Linked DNA regions of Mytilus edulis. The protein of the gene in region 1 purifies or fractionates together with the protein of each later gene. This does not show direct contact. Links are inferred from orthologs where the notes say so. Each region holds a gene or a part of one and is shown in the gene's direction. Other genes may lie near its edges. The genes, in order: neutral amino acid transporter 9-like, ragulator complex protein LAMTOR5 homolog and ragulator complex protein LAMTOR3-like.

Region 1 (7,548 bases):
AATTCGCAGATTATCTCTTAGAAGAAACTGGGAAGAACTGAAGATTCTATATTCCCACTTAAGCTTTGGGAGTGTAATTCAAAGCAACCAATTAATGGTCCAGAGTCTTTCCATGCCCATTATAATGAGCAATTTTATAGTTGTCACCCAGCTATTTACATTTTCCTTGATACTATTATTAAATTTCAAACAACAACATATTTAAAATTACAAAGTATACAGGAATGTGCACCACATTCTAGACAAGATAAAGAGAAAGAACAGTTCCGTATGCAATTCTATGAATAGTATTGTACAGGGAGTATATTCATGCAGAGCCCATATGTACTTTCTCATAGGATATATAAATATCAGGGTAGAACAGACTTTTAACATTTGATTTAACCTTTTAGACTTTTAGTGCTGTATTTTAATGGACAAGATATGTTTTATAGTGCTGTCTTGAGTCTATTCAAGTTTTTTATTGATCATACATTATTTATTAGAATGGGTTAAAATATTTCTCTAAAATGGTCATTGACATTTTTAAATTTCACTAAAATGGGTTAAATATCTGGTGCTTAAAAGGCTTCTTCTTTGGCGCAAAAACATCAGATTCCCTGTGCTGTGGTTTCATATGTATGTTTTCAACCTGTATACATGGTATACATGTATTGGTCTTAGGACACATCTTAATTAGTCTTAAAAAAGTCTTCTAAGATAAGATATATGTTTGAATTTTGGGGTCTTAGGATAGTTGTAACAGTTACGATGTCCCAAGTCAAAATAAAAACAACAAATGAGGCATAAACTGAATAATAAAAAAACTAAAACAATATTAAACTATTATAACAAATGAATTCAATAAACAAAGTATTTCTCAATTTTTGATAAAGATTTAATTGTGTTAAATTATTTCAGTAAATTTCAGACAAATTTGATGAATAAGATATTTCTAGCTATCAACAAAGATTGTATATAAGTAATTAGTTTGAGTTTTGGGAATAATAAGGAATATTACTAGGACTTTGTCTGGGTGTTCTAGAACCAACCTAATGCACATATCTTAATATATTGATCACATGGTTATTTAAACTTTACAGATTGCACAGACTTTTTGCGATCTGGTCAAAAGATTTAGTATATATTTTGTTTTGTTAAAAAAATATTTTTACTGTTTCATTTTATGTATTCTACTCATTTCGCTATCTATGTTATTTGTAAATTTATGTGTATTTGTCTCAGTAAACGGACAGAAAGTCACAGAACAAAATGTCACAGGACATAAAGTCACAAAGATAGGACAACAAGTCACATGACAAAAGGTCACAAATAATTTGTTGCCAATTGTTTGAATATGTAAGTGATGTATTCACTGTTTAATTCATATATTCATATTAAAGTTAAGGAAATGTGTCATTATACTTGAAAAATGATTATTTATTTAATAAAAATCATGCAAAGGATATATTTATTGGCACAATGAAGCCATTAAAGTGTCAAGCCACTTTCACATTTTTTTTTTTAACAATTATCTAATCATCTTTGATATTTTTTGGATAAATTTTGTTTACAAAGTTGGTTTATATATACAATAGTTAAAAAAAAATACCAAAATATTTTTGTAGAAATAAGCGTTTTTTATTCAAAGAAAATAGCCAGAAAAAAATAATTGTGACTTTTTGTCCTGTCACTTATTGTCCGTGACTTTTTGTCTATTACTTTTTGTCCTGTGACTTTCTGTCCTACATTCTTTGTCGCTCCTGTTATGCAGGAAATCGGTGCCAGGAAATCTGCGTCCGAGTGTATTTTGAATAAACAGTTTAAACAGTACAGTAGATACTGCGGTGGAATATCAAATTTGTATAAATGCTCATTAATTTTTGTTATCGCTCATTATTTTTTTTTATCATATTTTTCTTAGCTCTCAGAATAAAGTGAATCTTAATTGCATTATGAAAAGAAACTAGTTAATGAAAAATTTTCTTGCTTTTTAAAACAATTGAAAATCAAGTATGTTATCGTCAGTTTGGCTAATATCTGTCAGTTAATAACCAAAATTTGTCTTCAGAAAAAATAAATACACTTCTACCATGTCTATAGATTGTGACATTTTTATGGTCTATTAATAAAATCATATTTTTTTTCTCTTGTGTATTATATTGTCGAAACTGCTGGACTGGCATGATACATATATATACACATTGATAATGAAAATGTATTAAATTTTAAACATGCAAAGGATATATTTATTGGCAAAATGAACCAATTTAAAGTACCAAGTCACTTTGGCATTTTTTTTTCATAAACAATTATTTGATAATTATTAATGACATTTATTAAATACATTTTAATTACAAAGTTGCTTCATATATTAAACTTCAAGGCAAATACAAAATTTTTTTTGAAGTGTTTTCTTATTCAAAGAAAAATAATCTCAAAACTGAATTGTGACTTTTTGTCCTGTGATTTTTTTGTCCGTGAAATTTTGAGCTGTGACTCTCTGTCCTACATTCATATAATCTTGTATACATTTGCCAAGAATATTTCACTTAAAACCAGACCTTTTAGATAAAGTTAATACATTGTAATAACTGCAGGGACTTGAATGAATTAGACTATTTAAAGATACTTGTCTAGTAGTCTCAGATATATGACAATACAAAATATTATGAAATTTTGCTGTAATAAATATATGTTGAATATATTTATTCAATAGAGAAATAATGAATTGCCTAAATTATATTTAAAATAAGTCCTAAAGATATTATCTTAAACATTTGTTAAACAATGTTAAATGCAGATCCGTCTCTCTTAGTATAAACAATTTTGAATTTAGAAAATTGATTTTTGAAACACCTTTCAATAGAAAAAGACAGGTATTGTGAAAGTTTGCATTATATATGAAGATGACATTCATTTAATCTTCAGTTGTCAAAAAGTACTTGTAAAAAATAACATAAATTGATAGAAGTTAAAAAAAAAAATTTAACATCAAAACAAAGTCACAAGACATTTAAAAAAAAATGTTATAAGGCTATATGTGTTTTATATGTCTCTGGTTCAACTAGTTGTATTATTTCATTTTATTTTTTCAATTTTCTGGTCATAATCACCACAGAAATTAAATTTGACAAACACATATTTTACCTGAGACACTTTACCTGTAGGTTATGTAATTTTAACACTTCAATGCAGTCATGATTTCCCTTTATCCTTGACTAGTTTTTGATTAATACCTTGTGTATTAATTAGCAACAGGGAGTATTATGATGGACACATAGGGCCATCATGGTGGACATAGTTTTGTAACCTGACTTCCCAATGAATGTAACCATTGTAACCTGATTCCCCAGGCATGTATATATGTAACCATTGTAACCTGATTCTCCATGCATGTAACCATTGTAACCCGACTTTCCCATGTATGTAACCATTGTAACCTGATTCTCCATGCATGTAACCATTGCAACCTGATTTTCCCATACATGTAACCATTGTAACCTATTTCTCCATGTATGTAACCATTGCAACCAAATTCTCCATGTATGTAACCATTGTAACCCGATTCCCCATGTATGTAACCATTGTAACCTGATTCTCCATGCATGTAACCATTGTAACCAAATTCTCCATGTATGTAACCATTGTAACCTGATTCCCCATGTATGTAACCATTGTAACCTGATTCTCCATGCATGTAACCATTGTAACCAAATTCTCCATGTATGTAACCATTGTAACCTGATTCCCCATGTATGTCATGTATGTAACCATTGTAACCTGATTCTCCATGCATGTAACCATTGTAACCTGATTTTCCCATACATGTAACCATTGTAACCTATTTCTCCATGCATGTAACCATTGTAACCTATTTCTCAATGCATGTAACCATTGTAACCAAATTCTCCATGTATGTAACCATTGTAACCCGATTCCCCATGTATGTAACCATTGTAACCTGATTCTCCATGCATGTAACCATTGTAACCTGATTTTCCCATACATGTAACCATTGTAACCTATTTCTCCATGCATGTAACCATTGTAACAATATTCTCCATGTATATAACCATTGTAACCTGACTTTCCCATGTATGTAACCATTGTAACCCGACTTCCCCATGCATGTAACCATTGTAACCTGATTCCCTATACATGTAACCTGATTCTCCATGCATGTAACCATTGTAACTCTAAATCATTGTAACCTAAATAACTTATGTAACCTCACAGCCATGAATAATGGGGTTGCCATGGTAACAAGATGGCTAAAAGGGATTCTTGCATGTCTGTAACCAGTGTAACCAATGTAACCATTAGGTCAATGGAGGTTACAAATGTACCAGGATTTGAGAATTTCTGAATATCATGATTTATGATAGTTTATATGAGTGTAACCAATGTAACCAATGTAACCATTATGTCAATGGGGGTTACAAAACAAGGTAACTGAATTATGGTGCACATTTTGTGCCTTATATGGTTATCAAAGTTCACAAACTGACTTTTACTTCGTTTTAAAATGGATAGAAATCGTCACATGTCCGTAAACAGCCCAGACGACGAAATACGAACTTTACTTTCATCATCAAATTCTGAGAATTTGCAGAACAAAGAAGAAGGACCCTCTGCCTCAAGTCAGACAAGGCAAATATGTTCCTCAAAAATTATTTGTTTACACCCCTACTCAAGATTTTCCTTTGTCAGCTTTCTTCAAAGAACACAAGATTTTTATTAGCCATTTTGAAAATTGATGGAAATAGTAAACAATAAACATAGCATGGGGCGGTTCCAGCCATTTAAAGGGGGGGGGGGGGGGGGGGGGGGGAGGGGGTTCCAACCCAGGATAAAGGGATAAATGGGGTTCCAACTTCATGTTCCCTTTCAAATGCATTGATCCTCAAAAAAAGGGGGGTTCCAGCCTTGGAACTCTCTCCTCTTGATCACCACTGAAAGTTGAAAAAGTCAGGAGATGATAACTTTGAATAGGATTAATACACCTTATCGCTATTCCCGGCTGACCCGTCCGCTTGAACTTTTGACGTCAACAACAATCACTTTTCCATTGTGGCGTCAGACATTTTGTTTTATGACGTCAAAATTTTACGGGAACCTGTGTGATTTCCAGCAATGGCGGACAAATAGCGATAAGGTGTATTCAATATTATGGTCAGATCATATGTTTTTTAAGTCATATAAAATTGAGAGTGGAAATGGGGAATGTGTCAAAGAGACAACAACCCGACCATAGAACAGACAACAGCATAAGGTCACCAACAGGTCTTTAATGCAGCGAGAAATTCCCGCACACGGAGCCCCTAAACAAATATATATACTAGTTCAGTGATAATGAACGCCATACTTAACTCCAAATTGTACACAAGAAACTAAAATTAAAAATAATACAAAACTAACAAAGACTACATGTAGATTTGTATCATGCATGCTTTTTCAATGGAAATTGTGACGCCATAATGCGTTCTAAAAGCACTAAAACCCAGAAGAGGATATATAAAAAAGAAGATGTGGTATGATTGCCAATGTCGTCAATGAGACAACTCTCCACAAGAGACCTAATGGAACAGAATTTGAGAAATTAACAGCTATAGGTTAGCGCAAGGCCTTCAACAATGAACAAAACCCATAAATTACAAATTAAAAAGAGAAAACTAACAACCTAATTGATAAAGGGCTTAATGCATCAGATGGATACAAATAGAATTACATCAAACAAAAACACAGAGTGGATGTGGCCAGGTACTTTTACATTCCAACAACAAAAAGACACTAAGTACAACAGATATAAGATTACTTGCACTTTACCGACAGCTAGTTCAAAGCCCAAAACAACTAATAAAAAATTGTTTATCAAGGACTAAATTATCAATGAGTTCACATCCAACATCGGTCATCCAATGGATTTAAGGTAAAGATTTCTGTTTCAAACTTTATTTTGCCATAACCAAATGTTATGAAACTTATACACAATGCTTACAACATACAGATCAAACTTGAATTTGGGTAGCGTCACTTTTACCTTTCTTAGCTTTACAGGGGGAAATGAGTTGAAAGATGAAAATTATTTTTATCACGTGATTGACAATGCCTGAAAGCATTGTTCGGCATGGCTATGGGGATGCCTCAACGCATTGTTCAGCCTGGCTATGGGGATGCCTCAAGGCATTGTTAGTCTTGAAAGGGTTATATAACTTATTAATTATTTAATTAAGACCCTTTATAAACATAGAAATTGCTGCATTTTGCATTTCAGTTCTCTAACTTAAATTATCCTAAACCAAAGTTACTAGACTTATACACATGTTCAGGGTTTAAGCTAGGATTTTGAGGGCTTTAGTCACTTTTGCGCGCTATTAAAATCAACCTTATTTTGTGTAAAAGCAAGGGGCCAATGATGCATATTACTAGCTTCATCTTTTGACTTTGTCAGATTTTAAGGGATTGAGGCACCAGCATGATTGGCAGTTATTGTATGATTTGACTGTATTGGCCATTATTATGAAAGATTCTGACATGGAATCCAGAAATTTAGTTCACAATTTCTCTTCAGTTTGTTCCAGGGGTCATTCCTGATCAACAAAAGTTGGATTCTATTTTTTTTAAACAAGGAATCACAGCAGAAATTAACTTGCAATGATTATTTCACTGCATAATCATTATCCATATAAAAGGTCTAAATCGATATTTGGAATCATTTCTTTCAAGTTGGAAATGTGTAAAATCCTTTTTGGAACTATAATAATGACTGAAAGTAGGTTGTAAACAAATCAACAATAGATCACGTTTACCACTTTCGGTTTTAAAATGAAACAAAAACGGGAAGTGACACGTGGATAATAAATTCAAAACGAGTCCGGATTCATCAGGAAATTATCATTTTTTTATTTAAATTCCTTTAGTAAGAGATATTTGTCTCTCTCGTTTAATTGATTCTAAATTAAATGATTTCGTATTTTACGTTTTTTTAAAGTCTATAAATAGTCAAAAGAATACTTTCACGCATGCGTAAGAATACAATACAGGAAGCACCTGTTTAACTCGTGAAAGTTTTGAATAAACACATTAAAGTTCTTTATTTCATGTATTTTAAATGGAAATTGTCGAAAGTTTTTTGATGAAAATTTAAATCAATTATGACGAAAATGCCTTCGAATGACGAATCTACGACAAATGAACTTCAGATCGTTGGAAAAATATTGAAATTCAAATGCGAACTGACCGGGTTGTTACATTTTTGATTAATTGACGAAACTAAACTCCTGATTGTTGAAATGACTTGCCGACTGGCTGATTTTCCTGGGGAAATAATTATGATGGTCATTCAATTATGGGGTTTAATAATAATTAACGGATTAGTGACCCATCCGATGGCGATAAGCGGATTAGTTGTAATCACAACTTGTAACACCTGTTAAAAATGTTAATTACCTGGAGGTCATAAACTTGTCAAAAACATGAAGACAGGTAGATTTACAGTTTTTATTGCGAATTTTTTTTTACACTTTCAAAATTAAAGTGACGAAATTGATTTGAAATACTTTCGTC
Region 2 (7,582 bases), about 44 Mb from region 1:
GTTAAGCATGTTAATATGTCTTTTGATTGATCATTGAGTTAAGACATATTTCAATTGATATTTTACTTATGTGAAGTTGTGTTGTTTCTGTCCAATGTAGATGTTACACTATTATTTCAGGTTAGGGTGTAGGTTGGCACCTGTTCAAATATTTAAACCCCTTTCATTTCAAAGCTTGCCCTGCTTTTTAAATATATGAAATTATTTTTTTTCTGTTGGGAGTGGAGAAATATGGAAATACACAAGTGATAGTACAAAAAATGTATTTATGGTATTGGAATCCTTTTCTCTAATGGTTTTTATCCCTCCTTTTCAAAAATTTGCAGAAATTTGTGTTCTTTATATGTGAAGTCATATGACATGGTAGCCTTTTTTCATGATGTCACGATAGGAAAATTCAAAAGAAACAAGAATATTTGACCAATCATTTGCCAAGAATATATTTCACAATAAGGAAAAATATTTTCTCACATTGATTAAGAAATGTGAATTCAAAACGGGCTAAAAGATTAAAAAAATATGATTACACCATACACAGTGTAAGTACATACAGAACAAACATTATTTCTAGTTTATCCTGAATAAAGATCACATAGACCCTTGATGAACTTTAAAAGTGCAGGGATACAGACAGACCCTCAATCTTGTAAATGAAGTCATAAAGGCTTGCATAGTGGATGAACTTTTACCAGTGAATGACAATACAATGTACTGGAAAGCGGTATGTCATTTGCATGATTTGTTGAAAGGACTAGAATTTTCTTATATAAATAATGCAAACGGGTGGTTTGGACTGTATTCCTATCCACACTGGGTTGTTTTGCTCTTTATAATTTAGCCCTGAAAAGTAAGAAAGAGTTGTTTTGCTTACTGTATTTGGCCCAGGATTTGCGAAATAAATATATATATATCCTACTTATTCTTTCTCTAAAAAAAAGGGAGAAAATATCATCTTCATTAAATGAAGAAAAACTGACAAATGCCATAGCAAAAACCGAAAGACAACAAAGGCAACAAGTCAGGGAGATAATAAAACACTTCATTCAAAAATTATATAACATATACCATGTATACATAAAAAAAAAATTGTACATGTTATTTAGGGCATGGTTTGTTTATTTATAGTGATAAAATAAAGAAAGTAAAAATAAAAAATTATTTAGTAAATATGTTCATGATGTAAGGGACGACATCAAAAGTTCAATGTAGGATAAAAAAACTTAATTCACATAGTTTTTTCGCTGACCCCCCCCTACCCCCCTTCTGAACTTAATTTGGGAAAAATTGATTTACCTATATGGATATATGTAAAATCGATTTTAGATTAACAAAACTTGCAGCAATGTTGACCCCCCACCCCCAAACTATTCGATTTAAGTTTTTTATCCTACATCGATCTTTTGATGTCGTCCCTAAATCATACACTTCTCTGCAAAAGAAAATGTACAACTTTTTGACACTTTTAATTTGTATTTTATTGCTGCCTGCGCTGTTGTTTCTTGCAGCTAATGAGACTGCATCATAATAAAAATTTAATGAACATTTCATCCTACAAGTAGGTATTTCAATAAATCAATAAGGTGTTAACATTAATGTTTACCAATTATTATTAGATAATAAAAAATTTGACACATTTGACCAATCCCTTTTTCATCTTATTAGTGACTTGTTTGCAGGTTCATGATTTGTTCTTACATGTACATCAAATACATGTAGGTTACAGTTGTTTTTCTTCTTGGCCAAATCAAATTATTAATAAAATTGTGTTAAAATGAACCAGCTGAATATGCCAAAGAGAATCAACCAAATTATCTAGGATATTCGGAATCACGTCACAACTAAATTCCCTAACAATATAACGGAAACCTTACAGTATTTCCGTTTCTTTTTTTTAACATATTTGAATTAATACAGACTTTGTCCCCATTTACAGGTACATTGTAATACCTGCCTCATATTAATTTTTACAGTATGATATTACAGGGTTCTCATTAAGGTGAGTCAATGAGTCCTGGACTCATCAAAATCTGTCTGGACTCGCCTTTTTCAAAACTGGTGAGTCCACAGATGCATCATGATTGAAATATTTTGTATAAACTGAACACAGTTAAACACAAATATCATTTTATAGCAAAAGTTTAAAAGTGATCTGAATTTAATGTCATTGCATTGCTTTGTTAGGAAATGGAGACTAAAATATTACATTATATTGCAATAAAATATTATCTTCTTGCTGTTGGAATTATCATGGCTAAAAATGATGAGTCCCTGGACTCGCCTTCAAAAATCCTTAACGAAAACCCTGTGATAATACTAAAATACATGTACATGTAGCATTAAAATTACGTGAATTTCATATCTTACAAATTGATGCTTAGGGGGCTGATTTAATAGTCCATATATATTGATGGTGTCTTGGAAGGCTAATTTAAATTCTTGATTTGACGCTTTCCAGCAAAATAAGGCGTTAAAGAAAAAAAATATAATAGCCTTTCAAGACATCATCATTATTTTGACTAGGGGGCTAAATGTATCACATGCAGTTCTGTAAAGATTTTATCATACAATGTATGACATTCCTGTCAAATCAAATGCATCTCAAAGTGAAAATGTACAAAGATGCTCATATGATCCCTGTTGTAAATATGTGTCCAGAGTACCACTGGCACTCTGTCTCTACTAGAAACAATGTTATGATGAAAACTATTGAATAAACAACCCCATCTTAGTTAAGAATTGAAAGTTTTGATAATAATTTCCAATTAACATAAAGAAAGTGGACCAAATTTCCTAGGAAAATTAGTCTTAGGAAATATTTTATTTTAAATCTAAATACATAACTCTTTAACAATATCAAAACAACACTTAAAAATAACAAACATGGACGTTTCTACCTAGGAATAATAAGAACATGGACATGATTTCCTAGAAATATTAGTCTGGGGAAATATTTTTTTCTTCATAATATCAATACACAATTCTAAAACATTATTAAAACAAGACAAGCCATGTTAATTAACCTTTAAACATAATTATTATGGGTGTCTTTATCGAGGAATAATAATGACATTAACATGATTTCCTAGGAAAATTAGTCTGGGGATATAACTTTAAAAAATATTAATACATAACTCTAAAACAATATTAAAACCATTTATGTAAATAAACCTTTGAAATTAAATGATATGGATGTTTTTATCTAGGAATAATTATAACATGGACATGATTTCCTAGGAAAATTTGTCTGGGTACATATTTTTTTCATATAATATTACATAACTCTTTAACAAAATCAAACATGAAAGGTACTGGAAAAAGTTAGTTTGGTTAAAAATAAGTTTTAAACCTTAATTAAAATTATAAAATCATGGACATGATTTCCTAGGAAAATTTGTCTGGGTACATATTTTTTTCATATAATATTACATAACTCTTTAACAAAATCAAACATGAAAGGTACTGGAAAAAGTTAGTTTGGTTAAAAATAAGTTTTAAACCTTAATTAAAATTATAAAAATCATGGACATGATTTCCTAGGAAAATTTGTCTGGGTACGTATTTTTTTCATATATTATTACATAACTCTTTAACAAAATCAAACATGAAAGGTACTGGAAAAAGTTAGTTTGGTTAAAATTAAGTTTTAAACCTTAATTAAAATTATAAAAATCATGAACATTTTGCCCTATTAATATTAATAACACGGACATGATTTCCTAGGAAAGTTAGTCTGGTTACTTACATTTTATCAACATGGACATTTTTACCTAGGATTATTAATGACATGGACCTATATTCCTAGGTAAATTAGTCTGGGGACAAAATTTACTAACATCAGACTATATTTACTAGTAAAATTTGTAACCATGGACATTTTATACTAGGAATTTGGGTCCGCCCGGACATATTTTACAAGGACAAATTTATCGCTTACATACACACCAAGTCCCAAATGTAAATCTTAAAACAATGTTTGTACAGTTTTCCACTAGAAATTTTTAGGGCCCTTTAAACCATTCCAGTGTAAGACAAGGCTCTGTGTTGAAGGCCGTACCTTATTCTTTATTCGTTTACCTTTATTACTTGCTACTTGGATGGAGAGTTGTCTTATTGGCACTTATACACATGTACATGTACCACATCTATAAACTGACAAAGATATAATTTGACATACGACAGGTTATTGTTAAGTGACATCCTCTTTCTGAGAAGGTTTAAATGTATACACATTAAGATATACATTACATGTATTCAACTTATATCTTGCAAAATTTATAAAGTTATTACAATTATTCACAACATGACAACGTCAACAACTGAACAAAATCAAAATAAGTTATTTACATAACCCATGGGAACAATTGTACACATATCACTGTGACTGAGTATCCACGGGTATAACTATTCTCATATTTAAATATAATGCTATTTGTTACCTGTTGGTCTCATGAAATGAAAAAGAGTTTGTAAACAACCTGTTCCGTTTGGCTATCCCACTCTTCTGTCATTATGGAAAGGGAGGTAGAAAATGTGTACTATATCCGGCGGAGAATTCTACTTCCGGTTGCAGTCCAAAGACGAAACATGGAAAAAGTCCTGGAAAAGCATTTAGACGAAACGTACGGTAGCATGTTAAAGGCTTCTCAGTGAAATTTCATACATTGATCATTACAGAGATAAGAGTCAGTCATATCACAGCCACAGGGGTCGATATACATATAGCCTTTCTACTTAAGGTTCATCATAAGGAATTGAAAAATATGGCCGTGTTTTCACCTCCAAAATTACTATGAGTACAGACAAACTGGTACATCCAGGAAAGTTTTAAGGCATGGCAGGAACTAGATATATAAAAGTTATATGAAGTCTACGTTTCAGAAAATTAAAAAGTTACCTGGATTTTGATGTTCATTTTTTTCCAGTCTGCAGAAGATAGCAAAATAAACAAACACCCGAGTTTCATTTGATACGGTCCACTCAGTTACACAGTTTAAACCTGTTAAATAACCTATTGTTTACAGGTGTCTATTGTCCATCTATTGTCCATTTAAATCAATACTACTCACAACATTGATTATATGAGGGGAGCTTCTCAATCGTTTTCACTACTTAGTTAATTTTTGCACCTTCTGCAGGAACGAAAAAAAATGGATAGCAAAATCTAGAAAAGATTATAATTTTCTGAAACATAAAATGCATTTAAAATTTATATATCTAGTTCCTGCCATCCCTTAAAACTGTTGCAGGTGTATAGGTTAGTCTGTACTCAGAGTAAAATTTGGGGTGTAAATACGGCCATTTTAGCCAAAAGGTTATGATGAACCTTAATAATATGAGGCAGGCAGTACCTGTGAAATTTTTGGGGACGAAGTTTGTTTAAATTAATTTTTTTTGTAATTTAAATATTTGTTAAAAAAAAGATACGGAAATACCGTACCGTTTCCGATTTTGGTTCTGTTGTTAGGGATTTTACTTGTGACGTTATTTAAGTTATGACGTCATGTTCAATGTAAACAAAGAAACGCAATGTATCAGGTACATGTAGGCCTAACGTTTATTCATACCAAAGACAAAGAATGATTAAAAATGAAATATTGGTATTGTGTTCCTTGACTTTCTATATTTTACTAGACTAATCAAAGTCTCACGACAACAAGACTGGAAGAAGGAAGTAGAGTTATGTGTTCTGCGCAGATCCGGAAATTAAAAAACGCGACAAAAAAAAAATTGGACGATTTTGACTTCATTAGTACAATGAAAAATTCTGGTCTAAGTGTTACGCGGGATTGCTGATTTTTTGTAAGCGTGACACCTGAAAGTCAAATTATTGTGCCGTGAAAACGGGAAGTGAAGGCTAGCGGGACACAGGAAATTAGAAAAATATGAGAATTGCTAACATACATGTACATAGTGTAAGCGGTGATATGGGAATCTGATAAAACAGTACTGTAAGCGGGATCCGGGATCCAAACCCCCCAATGAGACCCCCTATGAAGTCAAAATCATTATCTTTATTTTTTAGACTTGTTTATTTTCATGCAAAGGTCATTTTTGGAATCATGTCTTTCACCGGAAAAGATCGTCAATTTCGAACGCCTTTATGACGTCATTCCAGCACTTTCATAATCGTCATTCTGTAGGGTAGTATAGAAATAATTAATGTTCCATAAGTACATAATCGTGATTGCCATATGACCGAGGGAAGGTGACCATCCTTTTAGATTTTAATTTCCAAAATATTTTGTGCAGTTTAGAATAAAACTTTTTCACCCTTTTGCTCAACATGTATTTGAAATTTCTATGCATACATTTTTGTCACCTGGTGATGGAAGTCACATGACAGATTGGTCTGTAAACCGTATCCCAGAACTGGCCTATTTGAACATAAATCTACTTCCTTCTTCAGGTCTCGTTTGTCATGAGACTTTGAGTAAAATATTTATTTATCAGTCCAGAAAAATATATATATACATTTGTAGAAACACAATACCAATTTCATTTTTAACAATTCTTTGATATAAAAAACACATTACCTGATGATAGTGTTTCTTTGTTTATGTACATTGATCAATATAAAGTCATAACTTAAATAATGTCACAGCTAAAATCTCTAACAACAGAACGAAATTGTGAAATGTTACTTGATACATTTGTACATGTATATTTGTTTCTTTTTTAAAAGGGCACTAGCTGTCAATTTCATGTTCACCAATTTTAATCAAATTCTCATATTTGATTTAAAACAATGTTAAACATTTATCTACACTATTAAATGTGTAAAATAAACAATTAACAGGGCATGGGCATGAAAATACATAGCTTTGTTTCATGTGTATTTTAGTCTAGATGCCATCTCATTAACTATTGTGTTGACCTCAAAAGTCATCTGATGACCATATAATCGATGTTAACATATATATATAGATATAAATAGATTAAGCAAATTTGTGCTGTTGGACTTTTCTAGGTCTACTTTATTTCATATTAAAGATGAAAAATAAATGTTTATCATCGTTTTTACCTGTATAACACAGATTTTTTTTGGATTGAATCAGTCAATCAAATGATTTACCTTTGTTTAACTTTTAATGTTGACATTTTTTTCCTTTAAATAACTTTACACATACAATTCATGTGTTATTAATCTCAAGCTAAGAGGTTAAATCGAAGTTCACATGAATACGGATTCAATGACAATGAGGTCAAATTTTTCACTTGCAGGTGAATAATTCATATAAATCAATATATTTAGCATATAATGACAAAATTAAACCATACTGGCTGCTAAAAGCAGATTGTTATTTCACTATTTCCATTTCATTAATGATTTAGCAAAAAAAAAATATATTAGATTTTTTTATATATATATCTAATAGCTAACTGCCCCTTTAACAGATTTTGAAGTTAAAATATGTTTGAATTAAAAAAAAATAATTCATACAGACTTGGTCCCCTTTCATAGGTAATGCCTGCTCCATATTACAAGGATATCAGACTAAGCGTAAAATTCAACCTTTGAAAAAATAAATGATTCATGAATAAGTAACTACATGACTGAGCAGTCAAACTGTGTCATTAGCAT
Region 3 (6,965 bases), on another chromosome or scaffold:
GCCGACACGGGACGTTTGCGTTTTTGATACAACATTGATAATATTTTATGGGCATTTTCGCTTCAATTTTATGGACGTTTACGCTCAATTAAGGGCATACGCTACAGTTTTGATCCCGTATTTAAGTTTGATGAAAATTTATATATAGGCTAATTTTTTTTGCCTGATTAAATCAAATATGTAATAAAAAATATACCTTTATATGCTACTTTTTGAGTTAAATGAGGTCGAAATTTTGTATATTTGCTCAAAATTCGGATTTGTGGCCGTATTTTCCCTTTCGAAAGAAAGCCATATTTTTTTTTTTTTAAAAGATAAACACAAATTGTTTTTTGTTAAATAATTTGTAATTTCTGTATTTTATAAATATCCTAAAAACTTATGAATTTTTTATTAAGAAATAACTCATATTTATCAAATGGTCATGAATTGAGAAAAAAAAACGTATTTTTTTGCTGTATATTTATCAACATTAAAAAAAATGCACTATTTACAGTTTTATAAAATTTGGTTCACATAATCTCCCTGCAAAATGAAACAATATGTCGTTTTAAAAAATAGGAGTCCATGCACTCGTTTTCAAATTAAATCAGTTTGAATGATAAAAATCAGTCGAAAAATGCATCTTTTCCCGGTATGTCACAGTTTGACGTCGCGAAAATAACAGTTTACGTTAGCAACGTCATGATCTCCACTGTAACTGTATCGTATGCCCTTAAAAAATAAAATTCACTTAAACAAAAGAATATTTGCGGTTTATAAACATAAGATTTGATATCACTTATACTGAGTTAATGTAGTTGGCGGATGCTGTTCAAAAGTAAAATCACAAAAATACTGAACTCAGAGGAAAATCAATTCGGAAAGTCCATAATCACATGGCAAAATCAAAAACCAAAACGCATCAAAAACGAATGGACAAGAACTGTCATATTCCTGACTTGGTACATGCATTTTCAAATGTAGAAAATGGTGGATTGAACCTGGTTTTATAGCTAGCTAAACCTCTCACTTGTATGACAGTCGCATCAAATTCCATTACATCATCGTCACCGATGCGTGAAAAATACTCTTCAAAGACACAAAAACATAAAAGATACATTAACGGGGTGATAAAATAAAATATAATATTACATATTACCAAGTAACTACCAATGATGACCGATTTATATTAAAGAAATACCACAGTATGCAGAAATGTTTAAAGTTTTTATTGTTAATTTCGCAATGATATTTTTCAGGCTCATCTTAATTTTCTGACAAGGTGAACAAAAAAGAAAAAAATATTTCTGGAAAGGTTTGTTTTGCTTCGGTTTCTAACCAAACTGAAATCGTAAAAATTTGTTATTCAACCAATAGAAAATGAAAACTAACCTCACGAAAATCATGGCCAAATATACAATAAAAAAATCACACATTTCTACATCTTACGGTATTCATTTTATAAAGAAATGCTCATAAAAAGTACTTGGTAATACATTTTTTGAAAAATATCGATTTAAGTTGAAATATTTTTGATTGGAAACTCACTTTTGTCCACCATCTGTACTAGGTTACAGAAATCTAACATAAATACCTGTGCACTAATGGCCGAGCTTTTCATGAATTGAATTGGGATATTGTTTGCTACATTCGAATGATGCATTCGTTAAATTCTGAAACCTAGGTATGCCTCGAACCTTATTGTTCCCATCTCAAACACGCCTAAATTTGTCGTGAATGAAAAATGATAATTCTGTTTTCATATATTTTTTTTATAAATAAAAAGCGCAAACGCACCGTCGGTTTATCAAACTGTTTAAAAGATCACCTAGAGGGACGATAGATACCAGAGGGACAGACAAACTCATAAATCTAAAATAAACTGACAACGCCATGGCTAAAAAGGAAAAGGACAAACAGACAAACAATAGTAGACATGACACAATATAGAAAACTAAAGAATAAACATCACGAACTCCACCAAAAACTAAGGGTGATCTCAGGTGCCCCGGAAGAGTAAGAAGATTCTGCTCCACATGTGGCACCCGTCGTGTTACTTATGAGATAACAAATCCGGTAAATAGTCTAATTCGGTAGGTCACAATCATGAAAGGGGAGGGGATTGTAGTTATGACGTAATGAACATATCCGATATCATTTGTGAAACGGTTATTCCATAACGGACAACCAACTCGTGATGGCGTCCGTAAAATTTACGAAGTGATGATTTCAACTTCACCATTTGAAACTCTTGATTTAATAGCTTCCTTGTGAGCAACAACCCTCTATCAAGAAAATCATGATAGGAAATGCAAGCACGGGAATATCGTATCAATTGGGAGATATATAAACCGTATGCAGGCGCTTCTGGAATGTTGCTACATAGAAATGGAAAGTTCACAATTGGAAAGCTGAAATCATCTCTTTTTTCGTAAAGTTTTGTTTTCAATTGACCCTCATTGTCAATTTCTAGATGTAAGTCAAGATATGAGGCCGACTTAACTGTATCTGTTGTATCCTTTATCTCTAGTAGAATTGATAGATGCGTTCAACATAGTCACAAAATTTTGCTTTGAGTGAAAGAACATCATCTTTATAGCGGAAAGTAGAGTTAAAGTCTTTCTTCCTAAGAAGTTCCTGTATGAATTCAGCCACATAATAATAAAGAAAAAAGTCGACAAGAAGAGGGGCACAATTCGTTCCCATTGGAATGCCGATAGTTTGTTGGAAATCACATCCTACGAACGTAACAAATATATTGTCAATCAAGAAATCAAGCATCTTGATAATGTCAGTTTCAGATTTTTTTTGTTTGAATCAGAGTGATCCTTTACAAAGTAGGATTTATCCCTTCCTAAGACAAGGTACTTGTATCTTCGTTGCTTGGCCATTCTTTTTTATGAAACAAAGCAATATCAACTCTTTCAATTTGTCTTTTAGTTTGGAATGAGGAATACTTGTATAAAGTGTATAAAAATATAATGTTTTAATACTATTACAAAATGAAAGAGAGTTAGATTGTGTGTACTCCAAAAGATCTTTGAAATTTTTAAGTATCCACATCTGATTCACGCCACCTCTAGAATAGGCAGTTTCACAACTTAGTAAAGTGGACAAGTAAAAAAATATATGAAAAATAACTGCTAAAAGTAAAAATAATAATTTTCCTTTAATTGTATGTTAAAAGTCTTAAACTGTAAACTTCCCATGTAAAAGTCAACATAAAACCTGTAAACCTCCTTTATAAAAACACATGAAGACTTAAAAAATGTATATAGTGTATCTAATGTTGTTGTGTTACGATTGTTAATTTATTCTTCAATTATTTTTTTGGTGGTGGAACTGTTCGACATACAAAGTATGGTTACCCTATAAAGGGTGTAAAGATCCAGAGAAGAAGAAGGACATGTCCATAGTTTTGGGGCGCAAAACACGCAAAAGTCCTGAGATAAAATTTCCTCGATTATTGTTTTAAAGTCCAACACTTGAATTTTTCACTTTGTCATTGGTTAGAACAGGCGAATATATAAAACAATTAATGCATAGCCCACTTTTGCAATCCAGTATTTTTCATTTTAAAAAAAATGCAGATTCAGGCGGCTATGCCCTCCCCTCCCCCTTGCATGGTAAAAATGTGGTTGGTTATACAGTGAATCACTGAAGCATTAGTGTAGTGGGTCCCCTCTTATGGCAGTTATTGGCACTGTGCCTCCTAACAAAATGTCGGTATGGATCCGCCATTGTTAGATTTTGCTTTTCTTATCTTTTGGCTAAATTTCATCATGGAAAATTCACAAATGCTTATAATCAAAATAAGTTATAATAAAATGGAAACAAAATAACAAAAGAAAGCTGCACGACAACATTTTGGAAAATATATTTGTCCGTTGCTGTGCTATACTTTTTAAAGTGATTTTGAAGTTTTAAGATTTACCATTAAAAGCTCTTCACTGTGAAAACAGAAACAGTGTACATCATGACAGACGTAAGATTTTATTTTATTTTTTAGTTTATTCTCTACTATCAGACACATTGTTTATTGAATTTTAAAAGAAATCAGGATCGTGAGTTCAACTGTGAAAAAGATTTCATACCCAAATGCCAGGCCTAACTGTCGTTTTGCCGCATAGCGAAAACTTCAACTTGAAAATTATGGGAGGGTCTTTTCAGATGAAGTTCCTTTATCTTCCAAATTATACTGGAACTACTCTACTTAGATAGGTACTACATGATGAGCTCCCGAAGTTTAATAGTGTATGTTGTTTTTTTAATCTATAATCTGGTGTTTTTTATCCAATTATGAATACAACCTGTTACCTGTTACCTAATCTTTATCTTCCTCCTCTAGCAGGAGCTTCGCTTTTATAGCGTAATTCTTATTTGCAGCCTTATTTGCACCCTATCCCTTACACACTGGGCACTCATAAAATCAGTATACGTAGTTATTATAATGTATAACAGTAACATATATACAGCATGCGAACTAATCCGTCACCATGTAAACAAGGTTAACTATATATATATTACACAGTCCAATCGTTCATAGCTGGTTCACTATTTATATCTCCATATCACATAGGCTTAACAATTCTACATATATAGCACTCCTGCCCTCACATTAGCATTTACTGTTCAAACACTATCCTCATTATCTTTAAATCTAAAAACTAGTTCAAGTGTCAAGGAATTCCCAAATAAAGATTATTTTTTTCTGTCCTTATCCATGTTATCATGGTTGATAAAGTTGTTAAAAGAATCAGAAAATGTGCTTCCTGATAAGTATATTATTATTGAATCCTGTTTTCATGCATTGCCAGGGGTCTACGACCTTCCACTGTTGCAATTGGACTATTGTTTCAGTTACTAGCTATGCCAGACGGACCTTCGATTAAAATAAAATAAAAACTAAACTTTGCTGTCCTTTTTAACCATCAGTATCTTAATTTCAAAACCATATTATGATTGAAATTGAGATAATTAAATGTTTCAAGCAAAAGCCTTGAAGATGATGAACGTCATCATGGTCATTTACGTGAACAAAACAAAAGAAATAGAAATGAAGATCTCACTATGCATGTTATAGACTAAAAGAAGATTTTGAAAATTAGGGAGTGATATAATAATTTAAGCCCTGTTAGATCAACTATATTTTGATGAATTGACTGGTCTAATGTCGTGTACATACTGCCTACAGTTTTCATTCGTTAAGATAAAGAAAGTGCACTTGAACAGTCTTCACGATGAACTGTTAAATCTACAGGCCAGGAGCTCAATTTTTGAAATTTTTTAGTGAGATTTTGTTGGCCTGCAGATATGATTTTTACAGGCCCAAGAGCAATTTTACAAGCCTGGGCTGCCAGGGCTGCCCCTCAGCGAGAAGACTGCTTGAAGGGTTACAAAAAATCATAAAATAGACCCAATAATAATACAAAAATTGACAACCCAGCATTTATCTGGTTTAAAGCAGTGGATCCATGAGAGTGACCCAAATTTTAAGTCTTAAGCCTTACCATGCTTAATTGTTATCAGCAATTGTCTAAATTTCGAGTATTTGCAAAAATATGCAAATGATATGCAAATGAGCTGTACCCTGATGCTGATACATACTTATAACAATAAATCTAAGATAGGGGATCGCAGGGTGGGGTAGGGGGGAATTTGCCCCAAAGTTGGTCCTCAGGTGCAAAAAGCGTCTATTTTGACGTTTTTTTTTTCTTTTTCTCGACCTGTAAGTCCAAGGGATGCTAATACATGTAATAGATGCATCCATCTGTAGTTTTTATGTAGAGTGGACCCCAGTGAACACTTTTATCACAACAGTTGTTAGGTCGGAGTGAAACTGATCTGGGTTCATCAGTGTATAGAAGGTCATTTGCACCAAAATTCACAAAATTTCTGATTTTTTTCAATTTTGAACTTTAACTGGATTTGCAACCTGAAGTAGTCGTTTCCTAGGCGTATTTTGATAATAAACACAATCAGTCGTCTGGGCCTTTAGGTAAACAGTATTTGTCAAGGTTTCAGTCCTCTTAACTCCATGTTTCAGACCTCGAAGGTAAGCCCATCCCTCCAAAAAACCCAATTTTGTCCGATATCTAATTTTGAAGTTCGTATTTGAGCTCAAAATGAATATTAAAAGTGACAAACATGACAATCAGTAGTGTCAGATTGAGGAAACTTGCATACACTACGAATTAAATGGCATTATGATGACCTTCAAATGTATGGAGCGCCATTAATGCCTAAATAACGGTGGTCTGGATACGGCCGTAACATTACAGCCCCCGCACGACAAGGGTTAAGATTTATTGTCAAGCATGAAACATGGACAATTTATTCTCAAACAGCAATGTAAGCCTGATCAGTTAAATAGATGTAAGGTTCTTGCAAAAAAGGGAATCCCCTCAGTGACTATGAATTTATTCTTGAAATCCATAGCAAAAATGATGTTGATATTGGTTAGCACTACTTCAATATTTGAGGTTGAAAACTGTTTATAAGCTGGAAAGTTCATTTTATGAGAAACAAAATGAGTTTATGAGTTATGTAATATTTCTTATAAAAGTAGGACCTGGGATTTTGGTTGTGGACCTTTCACTTTTTTCACATTCAACCAAATGTTGATTTGAACCCCTGATGGGGTACATTGGCTTTCATCTGTCCCTCTATTACACATGTATGACACATTTTTCCAAGAAACTAAAATTCTGTTAGTATATATATAACACCTTGGTTCTTCTGGTTTTGAAATAAACATAGTGTGAAGTGTCAATTCCTTAGTCTTTAGAAGAGGGTCAAAAGATGCCAGAGGGACAGTCAAGCTAATAGATCAAAAATAAGCTGACACCGCTGTTACTAAAAAACAAAAAGACAAAGAGACAAATGATAGTTCAAAGACACAACATAGAAAACTAAAGACTAAGCAACACGAACCCCAGCAAAAGGGATGTGGGTGGAGGTTGATCTCAGATGCTCCAGAAGGG

The links.
Region 2: the proteins of neutral amino acid transporter 9-like (region 1) and ragulator complex protein LAMTOR5 homolog purify together in Homo sapiens (co-immunoprecipitation; 5 studies listed by BioGRID and IntAct, with this or other methods). This does not show direct contact. The link is inferred for Mytilus edulis from reciprocal best matches to the Homo sapiens genes SLC38A9 and LAMTOR5.
Region 3: the proteins of neutral amino acid transporter 9-like (region 1) and ragulator complex protein LAMTOR3-like purify together in Homo sapiens (affinity purification with mass spectrometry; 3 studies listed by BioGRID and IntAct, with this or other methods). This does not show direct contact. The link is inferred for Mytilus edulis from reciprocal best matches to the Homo sapiens genes SLC38A9 and LAMTOR3.

The regions. Positions count from the first base shown.
Region 1 is NC_092344.1:81,385,536-81,393,083, forward strand, and holds the start of neutral amino acid transporter 9-like, read left to right. Parts: upstream 1-4,467; 5' UTR 4,468-4,507; coding exon 4,508-4,632; intron 4,633-7,548.
Region 2 is NC_092344.1:37,230,416-37,237,997, reverse strand, and holds the start of ragulator complex protein LAMTOR5 homolog, read left to right. Parts: upstream 1-4,494; 5' UTR 4,495-4,509; coding exon 4,510-4,619; intron 4,620-5,485; exon of another isoform or gene 5,486-5,500; coding exon of another isoform or gene 5,501-5,535; intron 5,536-7,582. UniProt on the Homo sapiens protein: As part of the Ragulator complex it is involved in amino acid sensing and activation of mTORC1, a signaling complex promoting cell growth in response to growth factors, energy levels, and amino acids.
Region 3 is NC_092352.1:54,988,914-54,995,878, reverse strand, and holds the start of ragulator complex protein LAMTOR3-like, read left to right. Parts: upstream 1-3,901; 5' UTR 3,902-3,958; coding exon 3,959-3,967; intron 3,968-6,965. UniProt on the Homo sapiens protein: As part of the Ragulator complex it is involved in amino acid sensing and activation of mTORC1, a signaling complex promoting cell growth in response to growth factors, energy levels, and amino acids.